2 linked regions of the Macaca mulatta genome follow. The protein of the gene in region 1 interacts with the protein of each later gene in a pairwise test. Links are inferred from orthologs where the notes say so. Each region holds a gene or a part of one and is shown in the gene's direction. Other genes may lie near its edges.

Region 1 (7,149 bases):
GTGAAACTGCTGCCTGGAATTTCCTATTCTCCCGTAACCAGCCTGTGTTATTCCTGTCTCACATTTTTTTTTTTTTTTTTTTTTGAGATAGAGTCTCACCCTGTCGTTAGGCTGGAGTGCAGTTGCAGTGGTGTGATCTCAGCTCACTGCAACCTCCGACTCCTTGGTTCAAGCGATTCTCCTGCCTCAGCCTCCCGAGTAGCTGGGACTACAGGCACCTGCCACCACACCCGGCTAATTTTTGTATTTTTAGTTGAGACGGGGTTTCACCATGTTGGCCAGGATGGTCTCAATCTCTTGACCTCGTGATCCGCCCACCTCGGCCTCCCAAAGTGCTAGGATTACAGGTGTGAGCCACTGCGCCTGGCCTCCTGTCTTTTATTTTATTTGTACTTGTATTTTTATTTTTATGATGGAGTTTCGCTCCTGTTGCCCAGGGTAGGGTGCAAGTGCACGATCTTGGCTCACTGCAACCTCTGCCTCCCCGGTTCAATTCTCCTGCCTCAGCCTCCCGTGTAGCTGGGATTACAGGTGCCCGCCACCACGCCCGGTTAATTTTATATTTTTAGTAGAGATGGGGTTTCACCAAGTTGGTCAGGCTAGTCTCGAACTCCTGATCTCAGGTGATCCACCCGCCTTGGCCTCCCGAAGTGCTGGGATCACAGGCATGAGCCACCACGACCAGCTGTCTCACTCGTTTGCAATTTACAGGCAAGGAAACTGAGGAGCGGGGAGGTTAATGAACTGGGCTCAGTGTTACACAGGAAGGAAGGGACAGAGACGCCAGGTTCTGCCGTCTCCAATGCTCATATTAACCACTTGTTTTGCTTCTAACATCCCTGGGTGGAAAATTCCACAATCTCAAAGGATGGGCCTGAGTAGACAAAATAAGTTACAAAAGAGCATGGATCACATAGTCCCATTTCTTTTTTTTTTTTTTAAAGGCATACACATATGTCAGAGGCATTCCAACCACAGAGATTCCGTCTTGAATAGGAGCTTGGTAAAATAAGGCTGAGACCTACTGGGCTGCATTCCCAGGAGGTTAAGGCATTCTTAGTCACAGGATGAGATAGGAGGTTGGCACAAGATGCGGGTCACGAAGAGCTTGCTGATAAAACAGCATATGCACTAAAGAAGCCAGCCAAATCCCAGCAAAACCAAGATGGCGATGAGAGTGACCTCTAGCCATCCTCATGGCTCATTATACACTAATTATAATGCATTAGCATGCTAAAAGTCACACCCACCAACACGATGACAGCTTACAAATGCCATGGCAACATCATGAAGTTCCCCTATATGGTCTAAAAGGGGAAGGAACCCTCAGTTCTGAGAATTGCCTACCCCTTTCCTGGAAAACTCATGAATAATCTACCCCTTGTTTAGCATATAATCAAGAAATAACTGTAAGTATAATCACAATGAACAGCCCAAGCCGCTGCTCTACCTGGAGGAGCCATTCTTTTATTCCTTTATTTTTATTGTATTTTATTATTATTATTATTATTCTTTTATTTTTTGAGACAGTGTCTTGCTCTGTCACCCAGGCTGTACTGCAGTGGCATGATCTCGGCTCACTGCCAGCTCCGCCTCCCGGGTTCACGCCATTCTCCTGCCTCAGCCTCCCGGGACTACAGGCACTCGTGACCACGCCCGGCTAATTTTTTTTTTTTCCAACAGAGACGGGGTTTCACCGTGTTAGCCAGGATGGTCTCGATCTCCTGACCTTGTGATCCACCCGCCTCGGCCTCCCAAAGTGCTGGGATTACAGGTGTGAGCCACCGCGCCCGGCCAATTTTATTTTTGAGACTGAGTTTCGCTCTTGTTGCCCAGGCTAGAGTGCAGTGGCGCAATCTCGGCTCACCGCAACCTCCACCTCCACCTCCCGGTTCAAGCGATGCTCCTGCCTCAGCCTCTCCCGAGTAGCTGGGATTACAGGCGCTCGCCACCACGCCCGGCTAATTTTGTATTTTTAGTAGAGACGGGGTTTTTCTATGTTGGTCAGGCTGGTCTCAAACTCCCAACCTCAGGTGATCCGCCCACCTCGGCCTCCCAAAGTGCTGGGATTACAGGCGTTTGAGCCACTGTGCCCGGTCTGAGACTGAGCTTTTTTAATTCTTCCAATCACCAAGTTATTGAAACCATTTTTGCAAAAATCTTAACAATGAGAAAATTCTGACATCTCAAATCTGGCCGGGCACAGCGGCTCACGCCTGTAATCCCAACACTTTGGGAGACCGAGGCAGGTGGATCACCTGAGGTCAGGAGTTCAATACCAGCCTGGCAAACATGGTGAAACCCCATCTCTACTAAAAATAGAAAAATCAGCCGGCCGTGGTGGCGGGCGCCTGTAATCCCAGCTACAAGTGAGACTGAGGCAGGAGAATCGCTTGAACCCAGGAGGCGGAGATTGCAGTTAGCTGACATTGCGGCATTGCACTCCAGCCTGGGCAACAGAGCGAGACTCCATCTCAAAAAAAAAAAAAAAAAAAAAAAAGTAAAAATAAGCCGGGCGCCGTGGCTCACGCCTGTAATCCCAGCACTCTGGGGAACCGAGGCGGGTGGATTCGAGGTCAGGAGTTCGAAACCGGCCTCGCCAACGTGGTGAAACCCCGTCTCTACTAAAAATACAAGAAAACGAGCCGGGTGTGGTGGTACATGCCTGTAATCCCAGCTACTTGGGAGGCTGAGGCACGAGAATCTCTTGAACCCAGGAGGCGGAGGCTGCAGTGAGCTGAGATTGCACCATTGCATTCCAGCCTGGGGTGACAGAGTGAGACCTCTCCAAATAAATAAATAAGAATAAAATAAAACCAACAAGCAGCAGGAGTCCAAAATCAGAAAACAAAGCGCAAACGTGCCTTAAATCAGTCATGTGCGACAAGCAGCTATAGTTAGGGTTTGGCCGCTGGCTCAGAGAAGCGCATCAGTGAGCTAAAGCCACAAAGCGCGGGGCTGGAGGTTTGGCTCCCAGTTTCCCCTCTCATCCAAGAAGCGAGGAAATGGGTTCGGAACTCTTCTGCCAAGTCCCAGTAGATCTACCCGGTAAACTTCCGGTGTTTCCAACTTCCGTGCGGGGCAGCAGCTTCGGCTGGTCCTAAGCGGGCCGGAAGTTCGTCAACATTCACGCTCCGCCTCTTTTCCGGACGTGACGCAAGGGCGGGGTTGCCGGAAGAAGTGGCGAAGTTACTTTTGAGGGTATTCGAGTAGCGGCGGTGTGTCAGGGGCTAAAGAGGAGGACGAAGAGAAACGGAGCAAGGGGACCCAGGCAGGTGCACCCGAGAGTGGGGAGATGCGGGAGGAGCCCCGAACCCGGGGCTTCTCGGCGCTCCCCGCTTACTCCGCTCAGCCCCCCTCTCTCCTTCCATTTCCTCCCCTCCGTAACTCGCGCCTCCCGCGGCTGTTTCCAGGGCAACAGGAGTAGTTCACTCCGCGAGAGGCCGTCCACGAGACCCCCGCGCGCAGCCATGAGCCCCGCCCCCCGCTGGTGCTCGGAGAGGGGCGGGACCTGGAGCGAGGTGCGGGGGCGGAGCATGAATGAAGGAGGTGGGGGCGGGGCATAATGGGAGGCGATGGGGCGGGACCTGGAAGCGCGGTGCGGGGGCGGGGCATGAAGGGAGGAGGCGGGGCTGGGGGCGGGGCATGATGGGAGGAGATGTGGCGGGGCCTAGAGCGAGGTTGTAGGGGTGCAGCGGGAAGGGAGGAGGCGGGGTGGGGGCGGGGCATGATGGGAGGAGATGGGGCGGGACCTGGAGCGAGGTTTTAGGGATGAGGCTTGGAGGGAGGGATGCGTATGGGGCGGGGCAAGGTGTTGGGAGGCCCATGATGGGGGGCTGTAGGGGCTGAACCTGGAAGGTTGAAGGCGGAGCATAATAGAAGGAGGTGGGGTCAGAATGAGAAATTGGGATGCTTGGAGGAGAAGTGAGGCGGTCTTATGAAGAGGAGGTTGGGGGGAAACTACATGGGATGGAGACCGTGAAGGCAGAGCATGATTAAAGGAGAATGGGCCCTACCTAGAAAGAGCAGGTGGATTGGACCTGAGGGGGCGGGGCCTAGAGCAGGGGCGGGGCTTAAGACCAAGCTGAAGGCTGGGCTGGAACAGAAGGGGGCGGGTCCTGTTAGAAGGATGGGGAGGGTTTGTAGGCCAGCAGGAACCAGGGTTGTGGCTGAGAGTAGGGTCTCTGGAGAGATGGAAGTAAAAGTGGAAACCCGGTCAGGACCTGTAACTGACCTAACCCAACCCTTCTTAGCCCCACAAGGCTCTCAATCCCCTGTATTTTACAGGCTGCTCCGTGACCCCACCATGTCCTCTCCCACCACGAGTTCCCTGGATACCCCCCTGCTTGGTGAGTGACTCTCTTCCCCACTCAACCCTTATCACACACTAGCAGAAGCTCACTATTACCCCTCCCGGATTCCACCCTCTTCCAGGAAATGGCCCCCCTCAGCCTGGCGCCCCTTCTTCTTCACCCACTGTAAAGGAGGAGGGTCCAGAGCCGTGGCCCGGGGGTCCGGACCCTGATGTCCCAGGCACTGATGAGGCCGGCTCAGCCTGCAGCGTGGACTGGGGTGAGACAGGGCCCAGAGACAGGGCTCTGGAGTTGACATGGGGGCTTGGGGAGGGGTTTAGGAAGGGAAAAAGAAATGGAGATGGGAATGGGAGGCCCCTGATCTTTGCTTTTTGTTCTCGCTTTCTCCTTGATACATACATCTTTCTAAATTGCAATATCCCTGAATGTGAGCAGCACCTCCTCTCCATCCTCTGGCGCTTTGCCTGGGGATCTCCTGTGGCCACATCATTCTGGTTCCTGTTTCTCCCTGTGGCTCACTCATGGCCTCTGCCTACCCATCCCAGTCATCCCAGATCCTGAAGAGGAGCCAGAGCGCAAGCGAAAGAAGGGCCCAGCCCCGAAGATGCTGGGCCACGAGCTTTGCCGCGTCTGCGGGGACAAGGCCTCCGGCTTCCACTACAATGTGCTTAGCTGCGAAGGCTGCAAGGGCTTCTTCCGGCGCAGTGTGGTCCGTGGCGGGGCCCGGCGCTATGCCTGCCGGGGCGGTGGAACCTGCCAGATGGACGCTTTCATGCGGCGCAAGTGCCAGCAGTGCCGGCTGCGCAAGTGCAAGGAGGCAGGGATGAGGGAGCAGTGTGAGTGCAGTGGGAGGGGGCGGTGCCGGCCTGGCCCATTGGCCCAGCCCTGGGGTTCTGCTGAGGCCTGCATCCCCCTACAGGCGTCCTCTCTGAAGAACAGATCCGGAAGAAGAAGATTCGGAAGCAGCAGCAGCAGCAGTCACAGTCACAGTCGCAGTCGCCTGCGGGGCCGCAGGGCAGCAGCAGCTCAGCCTCTGGGCCTGGGGCATCCCCTGGTGGATCTGAGGCAGGCAGCCAGGGCTCCGGGGAAGGCGAGGGTGTCCAGTTAACAGCGGCTCAAGAACTAATGATCCAGCAGTTGGTGGCGGCCCAGCTGCAGTGCAACAAACGCTCCTTCTCCGACCAGCCCAAAGTCACGGTACTGCCCCCTCCACAACCTTGAGTGTGATGGTCCCAGTCGGGTAGAGCCGGCTGGGCCATTGCCCAGGGTGTGGAAGAATGAGGCTCCAGAGGGCAGGGGCTTTGGGAGGAGGGTCCCCCAGGGTGCAGGCTTGGCCTCAAGGTGGCCGCCCCAACTTACGCTCACAAAGACCTGGGAGTGACCCTGGTCTCCTGTGTCCCAGCCCTGGCCCCTGGGCGCAGACCCCCAGTCCCGAGATGCCCGCCAGCAGCGCTTCGCCCACTTCACGGAGCTGGCCATCATCTCAGTCCAGGAGATTGTGGACTTTGCCAAGCAAGTGCCTGGTTTCCTGCAGCTGGGCCGGGAGGACCAGATCGCCCTCCTGAAAGCGTCCACCATCGAGGTAATGGTCCGTCTGCCCACAAGAAACCCCAGAGATAGCTCCAGGACAGATGCTGGGAGCAGAGTTTAAGCAAGACCAGTCCTTGCCCTTGTAGGATGACATTCCATGGCAAATAGAGTCTTCTATGAGCCAAGAAGAAAAAGAAAAAAGGGTCTGAAGCTGAGAAAATTGAGGATCAGGCCAGAGAGGCTATTTTAGAGAAAAGTTGCCAAAAAGGCTTTTCAGAGGAGTTAGCGTTTGAATCAAAGTAGGGATAACATACAAGTATTGAGCGCCTACTGTATGCTAGGCTCTATACCAAGTGTTGGCATATGGCAAAGAACAAAGCAGATCAAACCCCCTGCTCCTATACCTTGTGCCCACCTGGGGAAGGAGTATCCTAAGGAGAAGGGGATGCAACGTGTGCGAAAGCCCAAAATGAAGAAGGAGCTTGGGCTGTCTCACGTGATGGCTGCACACTGGTGTGGCTGAGAGAACGGGGGACGAGGGATATTCCTGGTGAGATTAGAACCCCATTTGGGCCAGCAGGGGAGGGACTAGCAGCCGAAGGGTCACAGGGCTTGAGCCCCCTCCCACTGCCACCCTCAGATCATGCTGTTGGAGACAGCCAGGCGCTACAACCACGAGACAGAGTGTATCACCTTCCTGAAGGACTTCACCTATAGCAAGGACGACTTCCACCGTGCAGGTAGGGCCCAGGGGAGGCTTTGGGGAGGCTTGGCCCCCCTGCTAGCTGGAAGACCTGGGGCCAATTCATCCCTGTCAGAGTCTGTTTCTTTATCTCCAAAGCCGGGGTGAGGGTTGAGCCAAGGTGAGAGCAAGACAAGAGTGTGTATGTCATGCGTGGTGGTGTGTGCCTGTCGGCCCAGCTACTCAGGAGGCTGAGGAGGGAAGATGGCTTGAGGCTACAGTGAGCTGTGATTGTGCCACAGCACTCCAGCCTAGCGACAGAAGAGACCGTGTCTCTATTTTTTTCAAAAAAAGCATGTATTGGCCGAGCACGGTGACTCACGCCTGTAATCCCAGCACTTTGGGAGGCTGAGGTGGGCGGATCATGAGGTCAGGAGGTCGAGACCATCCTGGCTAACACAGTGAAACCCTGTCTCTACTAAAAATACAAAAAATTAGCCAGGCGTGGGGGCGGACACCTGTAGTCCCAGCTACTCGGGAAGCTGAGGCAAGAGAATGGCTTGAACCCAGGAGGCGGAGGTTGCAGTGAGCCGAGATCGCGCCACTGTACTCTAGCCTGGGCAA
Region 2 (7,092 bases), on another chromosome or scaffold:
TAGGTTTGGTCATGAAACCACTGGCTTTCATGTGGTCTGGGTTCTACCGGAATCAAGCTATGAACTTGCTATCAGTAAGACCTCCTAATTGCAAACCACATGGACCTTTACAAGTTATTTGACTTCTCTTGATCATTACCTTTTCTAGTCTCCACTGATTCACCTCCTTTTGAATCTCAACAAGCTCCATAGTATCTCAATGGTATCTTAACAAAGCTGTTACAAATAAATGACTTTGAAACAAAGGAGAGAAATGGCTCAGGAGCTAGGAGAATATGCAGGGTTGAGTTGCAAACAGTTGATTTTGTTTGTATTTTGGGCAGGGGATGAGGCTTGGACTGGAGAGAAAGGAGATAAGGATGTAAACACACGTGTAGGGCATACCACCCCCTATTTTTTATTCTCTAAATCCTTAACCCTGAGAATAAGTTCTTATTCTTGAGTATCAACAACATTATCTTAAGCTAAATTAATCAAGCCTCCACAGTGTTCTTCTCTCAACAGTGGTGTGGGCCTCCCTAGAAGTAATTTCTCCCAAATTCAATGATACCTTTTAAGTTCAGATTTTAATTGATATGAATCTGTGATACACTCTAAAATAATATTATTTTATTGAAAAGTGGACTGTAACTTTCCTTTTATCTAGGAAGGGTTCTAAGTTAGAAGATGTTTTGCACTTTTACCAAAGGCTCTGTCATGTAAGCACCCGAAGCAACTCTGAAAGCCTTGATATTTGTGTTTCCAGCATGTGTTTGTGTAATACAGAAAGAGAAGCAGTTGTCAAGTGAAATGATGTTGGTCTCCAAAATTATAGTTTGATCCCACAAACACATACACACAAAGGATTGTTTGCTTCACAGTTTTTGATATTTAATTCAATGCTGTTGGAACAGCACAAAACTAAGTGTCAGCTTAACAGAATCACTTGTCCTTTTAGCATTAAAGTAACATGTAACTTAATGCTTTAATTTCCCAACATGCCATTTTATTTAGAAAGATTCAGACTTTCATTTTATTTAGAAATAAAATGCCATTTTATTTAGAAAGATCCAGGAGCATTCATTCACGGAACTTTAAGATCTCAGTCCACTGCATAAAATCTTGATTTTGTAATAACAATTTCTGTATCTTGCATATTCATTCAACAGGTTTAACGCGATGAGCAAATTAATGTTCATCGTTTTTAACATGTTTCAACTTAATCAGAACCCACATTCTCAATTAACGTTAATTGAATGTACATAGGACTATACAAGGGTTAGCAAATAAGAGAGAAACTGTTGCTCATTTAACCACTGTCACTTTGGACCAAAAAAAAAAAAAAAAAAAAAAAAAAAAAACCATTTTAAAAATTGCGCTTAAAAGAGTCTCTAGAAGCTGGAAGCGTGGCTCTTTTTCAGTAAACTAGGGGAAAAGGTTTACCGTGTTCCCCCTTTGGGGAATTTTGAGTCGCCACACTCATGTCAAGACCGAACCTGGCTCACTGCGTCTGGGAGAGTACTTGAGGAAGGCTGATGTCCTAGAAAAACCAGCTGAGGGAAGGGGCTGAAGCCCATGAAACCAGTTCTCAGCTCCGCGCCGAGGGGTCGGGAGTGGGGGGCAGCTTTGCGACCCTCTAGCTGGAGACTTCCCGCAGCTGCCTCCGACTTGTTCTAAGTGCAGGAAAAATCGGTGCGCCCAGTTGCCTCTCTCCAAAAGCGCGCAGCTGTGCCCAGTGAGGATGCCGCGCTGGTCCTGGAGATGTCCCACCGCAAAGAGCATTCAGATGCTTCCTACTCCGGCGCCCAGTGGCTTGGTAAGTCCTGTTGGCAGGCGACAAGAATTGTCTGGGCTGCTCCTATCTCTGGCAGGACTAGACGGGGCGTGAAGGAAAGAAGAAAAGCAGGGATCGGGCACTGCCCGAGGAGAGACACTTGGGCTTTGGTGTTGTCCAGCGCGCTCGGAGCGCGCTGCCCCCTCGTGCGGTCCCGGGCCCCACTTCTTCCGGCAGTGCCTGGGGCGGGAGGGTTGGGGTGTGGGTGGCTCCCTAAGCCAACACTCGTGCGGCTGCGGTTTCAGCCCCCTCCCCCCGCCACTCGGGGGCGGGAAGTGGCGGGTAGGAGTCACCCAAACGTGATTGCCCGAGGCCCCTCCTGCTGCGGCGAGGAAGCTCCATAAAAGCCCGGTTGCGACCCGCTCTCTGCACCCCATCTGCTGGCTCTCACCCCTCGGAGACGCGCGCCCGACAGCAGAGAACTTGCCGCCCAGCCACGCCCGCGCGCCAGCCACCGTGAGTGCTACGACCCGTTTGTCTAGGGGTGGGAGCGAAGGGGCGCCCATGAACTTGCTAGAGGCGCAGCCTCCGGCTCTGTGGAGCTCTAGGGCGCCGGGAGGGTCGCACCCCGTTCCCCAGCCGGGACTATGCCGGCTCGGCGCCCCGACGCGGACCAGCCCTCTTGGCGGCTAAATTCCACTTGTCCCTCTGCTCCCCTCTGATTGTCCACCGCTCTTCTCCCGGGCCCTTCCCGCTGGGCGGTTCTTCTGAGTTACCTTTTGGCAGATATGGAGGGAGAACCCGGGACTCCTATCCCAAGGCAGCTGGCGGTCTCCCTGCGAGTCGCTGCCTTGAGGCCCAGAAAGAGATGCGCGGTAGGAAGGTTTCCCTGGCAGCGCCATCGAGTGAGGAATCCCTGGCGCTCTGGAGCCCCGCGCCCTGCCATCTGCCTGGATTCTTGGGCTCCAAATCTCTTGGGAGCAATTCTGGCCCAGGGAGCAATTCTTTTCCCCCTTCGCCACAGCAGTCATCACCCTGAGGTGATCTCTACCGTCAGCGTTGATCCCCTGAAGCTAGGCAGACCAAAAGTAACAGAGAAGAAAGTTTTCCTCCCAGACAAGAGTTTGGGCAAGAGGGGAGAAAAGTGATCCAGCAGGAGGAACTTCCAATTTGATTTTGAAAGTGTCTAAACTGGCGGGGCCCCCACCTTGCACCTCTCGCCGCGCGCTTCTTGTCCCCGAGACTTGGAACGAAGTTGCGCGAAGTTTTCAGGTGGAGCAGAGGGGCAGGTCCGGGCCAGACGGCACCCAGAGTCCGCAAGGTGGTGCTAGCCACGCCTGGGTTCTCTCTGCGGGACTGGGACGAGAGCGGATTGGGGGTCGCGGGTGGTAGCAGAAGGAGGAGCGCGGGAGGCAGAGGAGGGAGGTGCTGCGCGTGGGTCCTCTGAATCCCCAAGCCCGTCCGTTGAGCCTTCTGTGCCCGCAGATGCTAGGTAGCAAGCGACTGGGGCTGTCCGGACTGACCCTCGCCCTGTCCCTGCTCGTGTGCCTGGGTGCGCTGGCCGAGGCGTACCCTTCCAAACCGGACAACCCGGGCGAGGACGCGCCAGCGGAGGACATGGCCAGATACTACTCGGCGCTGCGACACTACATCAACCTCATCACCAGGCAGAGGTGGGTGGGCCCGCGGGACCGACTCCAGGAGCGCCAGTGCCTGCACACCAGGAGATCCTGGTTAGGGGAAGGGATCGTTTCTTTTCCTTCGCTCTATCCCAGGGCAGGACAGTATCAGGCTCTTAGTCAGCTCCAGGTAAATGTTTGTGCGGGGCACACTGCGCACAAAATGGATACCTTCCATTTTGTGCAACTATAGTCACAGAGTCGTGATCCCCAGATTCAGGTTCCCCAGGCTGGTAGGCTGGCAATCTCCTCTCACTCACCTCTTGTGGTTTGTTGTGGTTCTTACAGCAGTGGGGGCCTGTTCAGAAATCTCGAAAGTACCCAGTGAAAGGGGCAAGAATGCGCCAGAGAAATGCTGTAGGGAGAAAGGCTAGCAAGGTGTCTAGGAAAAACAGAACGACCACCAAAGAAAACCAAACCAAGGAGTAAACTGCAGGGTTGCCCCAGACATTGTTAGACTTTCCAGCCTGCCTAGGGCTAATTGAATGACAGTATTTAGAAAAAGACAAATAGAGCTATTTTCTTTTCTTCTGTACTGTGTTTTTTTGCAGTCTCAGTCTCATACTTGAAAATCCTAGTCCCAGTAATTAGAGATTTAGCCTGAAAACAGTTTATCTAAAATGCAGACTCTCCCTATTTTATAGCTGGTGAATTCTGAAAAGAAAGTGCCCACTTGGTATTTCATTAAGAAGAAACTTACATTGGTCCAGTAACTTTAGGATGAATCCACGGATTACATGGAATCTGAGAAGTTGTAAACTTTATTCTGGACATTCAGAAAGTCAAAATGAAATGCCACATTTTCACTCTCAACATTGACAATTAAGGGAAAAATCAAATCCAAACTATTTTACAAATTACATAGGACTTAAATTTCGTTTTCAAAATTAGTTGATCTTAGCTCTAAATCATTTAACATCTTATTTTAATTACTAAGATTAAATTATTTTAATCATTTGACCATATCTAAAGGATAAGCCCTTTAGAAGCATGAATGTTAGTTAACATGTTTAAATTATATGTTTAAAGTATTGTGGGGTTTATTTATTTATTTAGTCCATATTTTTACTGTTTACAAGTCAGGGAGTAGTTGGAAAGGATCCAAAAGGGGGAGAATCTGTACTTCTAAAATCAAGTTTGCTTTTTCCTGTTTCATCAAAAAGGTATTCAACATCCTAAAAAAACTTTTGAAAAAGCTCCAATTTATATAGAATCTGAAAAACATGAAAATGCCAGAATTAAATAGTATTGGTTTGTGATCCCTTGAAATCTGATCATTTTAATTAGCAAAAAGCAATAATATTTTATATTCCATACTTCCCAGAAAGTTAATTGATTCAAATTCTTGCTATGCTATGCTGTCATGCAGATCAAAGAGAACTTGTACAAACAAAAATATGTTAACTGTTTTTTCTAGAAAAACCTTTGTTAGTTATTTAGTTATAGCATGATATACAGTAGAACTCAGTTTTCCAAAGATGATTGCTCTAAAGCTTTACAATTTTACAAAGCTCTAGCATTTTAAAATATTTTCCTAGGCATTATCTCATTCAGTCTTTACCTCAAAGCTTTGAAGGGAGTATAATTATCTCCATTTCACAAATCATGAAGCTAAGGACATTTCATGAAAGCTATTTTTATAGGAATTATGGAATTGGGGGCCTCCTTTGAGTTTCTTTGGATGTTGTCACCACCATCAACAGGCGGTGTTATCTCCAACATGTTTGATGAGAAAAAAAAACATAAAGGAAAGGGACTTAGGTTTCATGGCAAGAGATTCAGCTTAGATGTGAATGAGCTGGTCTCTGAGGCAGAGTTTCCTGTCTCACCTTCATGTAAACTCCTTCTTAGAAACTAGCAGAGGCTCTTAACATACATCCATCTTCTCCTTCCCACCACAGACACCCACTCCTATGTGTGTTTCTGAAAATTACAGGGTCATTTGTGGATGTACTTTAATTTACTATAGATGTAATCTGATATCATTATCTTTCTTCTCCCCGCCCTGACCCCCGTTCCCCCTACACTCAATTTGTGCTTATATTCTTGTTGCTGTATATATACCCCTGGCTCATTGCTTCTGGAAGCTGCATTACTTATTCTAAAGTGTGGGTCTCCTACAATTTACTTATATGGCCCCCTAAATCAGTGGTTCTCACCTGAGGGTGATTTTATGCTCCCCAGGTGTGATTTGGCAGTATCTGGAGACATTTTTGGTTTTCACAACGGGAGGTGGGTGCTGCTGGTATCTAGATGTATAGATGCCAAGGAGGCTGCTAAATATCCTACCATGCCCAGGACAGCCCCCATTACAAAGACTAGCCAGTCCCGGAGAAACTCAGCCTTAGATTAGTGTTTCTCCTTTCTGGCTGCACATTAAAATAATCAGGGGAGCTTTTAAAGTACACTGATGCTGGGATCCACCCCTGACCAATTAAATCAGACCCTCTAGCATAGGGCCTGGGCTTTAGAGTGTGTTTTTAACACTCCCCAGGTGATTCTAATGTGCAGCCAGGTTTGAGAATCTTTAAGGACTCAATCTTTGAAAGTTACAGCATTGTAGAGAGGAAGGATGATCCAGAATTAATTAAAGAAGGAAGAAGAGTGAACAATGCTGAACTGGATGCAAGATTATGACTGTGCAAATCCTCCTATTTCAGATTTAGGTTCTTTACTGGTAAATTGGAGAAAACAGTTGGCAGTTCTTTTACTCACTGGAGCATGATGAAGATAAATGAGTTACAGTTGCCCTAGAGTTTTACGATTAGTAAAACCAATGGATGGACAGAATAAATAGTATAAGCAGATGCCTGTAGTCTAATATCTCAACTCCAGAAAATCTTCGAGGAAATCTTACACATGATGGGAGTGGGACAGGGACTTGTTTTGTTTTTGCTTCCCTTGAGTCTCAGCAAAAGAACAGTAATAGAAAATCTTTCCAAAAAATTGAGATATAATTTTGCTTGGCAATTAGAATATGTCCTCTGTCAGCTATGTTCAGCTGTTAGACCTATTAACCAATCCACACCAGGCTAATTTATTTCTAAACGAAGTGGCAACTGGTGTCCAACACCTTTTCTGAGAAAGGGAAAAATGGCCTCTTCAAAAGATGCAATTTGGTATAGACTTGTCTGACTCTTTTGTAGTGTCCTGGAGTGGGGAGCATATACTACCCTCGCAGATAAACGAAACCTTACCTGTGTGTATTGTCTCACCCATATCCTGCTATAGGAGAAAAAAAACAAACAAACAAGAACATTTCCATGAACCAGTTAGATTCCTTTAGACTTACAGGGAGGCTAAAATCACAACATCAGGAGAGGCGTTAGCATTTGGCACCTTGAATGAATATGAGAAACATGAGACCCAGGGTCTGTTGGTAACCAGAAGAATGGATACATTTCAACAGCAGTAATTTGCATGTGTGTATCACTTTGTCACTTTGAAAGCACTGGGACTCACGTTTCACACTGGATGTTCACAAAGACTCTGATTTAAGCAGGGAGTATTTTACAAACGAGAAAATCGAGCTTCAAAGACACAGGTGGGTCTTATACGGCAATCTGCTGATTTTTTTTCTAGCGCTGTCTTTGAAATATCATCTGGTCTCCTTGTTAAGATTTAAACTGCTGTGTATCATCAGAACAATAGCCAATTAAC

Evidence for each region.
Region 2: the proteins of NR1H2 (region 1) and NPY interact in a two-hybrid assay, tested with the Homo sapiens proteins (3 studies listed by BioGRID and IntAct). The link is inferred for Macaca mulatta from reciprocal best matches to the Homo sapiens genes NR1H2 and NPY.

Annotation. Positions count from the first base shown.
Region 1 is NC_133424.1:62,762,870-62,770,018, forward strand, and holds the start of NR1H2 (oxysterols receptor LXR-beta), read left to right. Parts: upstream 1-3,126; 5' UTR 3,127-3,271; exon of another isoform or gene 3,272-3,275; intron 3,276-3,413; 5' UTR 3,414-3,521; exon of another isoform or gene 3,522-3,540; coding exon of another isoform or gene 3,541-3,762; intron 3,763-4,287; coding exon of another isoform or gene 4,288-4,306; coding exon 4,307-4,349; intron 4,350-4,434; coding exon 4,435-4,572; intron 4,573-4,858; coding exon 4,859-5,149; intron 5,150-5,232; coding exon 5,233-5,510; intron 5,511-5,715; coding exon 5,716-5,895; intron 5,896-6,483; coding exon 6,484-6,583; coding exon of another isoform or gene 6,584-6,610; intron 6,611-7,149. UniProt on the Homo sapiens protein: Nuclear receptor that exhibits a ligand-dependent transcriptional activation activity. Binds preferentially to double-stranded oligonucleotide direct repeats having the consensus half-site sequence 5'-AGGTCA-3' and 4-nt spacing (DR-4).
Region 2 is NC_133408.1:104,094,495-104,101,586, reverse strand, and holds the start of NPY (pro-neuropeptide Y precursor), read left to right. Parts: upstream 1-2,259; 5' UTR 2,260-2,269; intron 2,270-3,238; coding exon 3,239-3,426; intron 3,427-7,092. UniProt on the Homo sapiens protein: NPY is implicated in the control of feeding and in secretion of gonadotrophin-release hormone.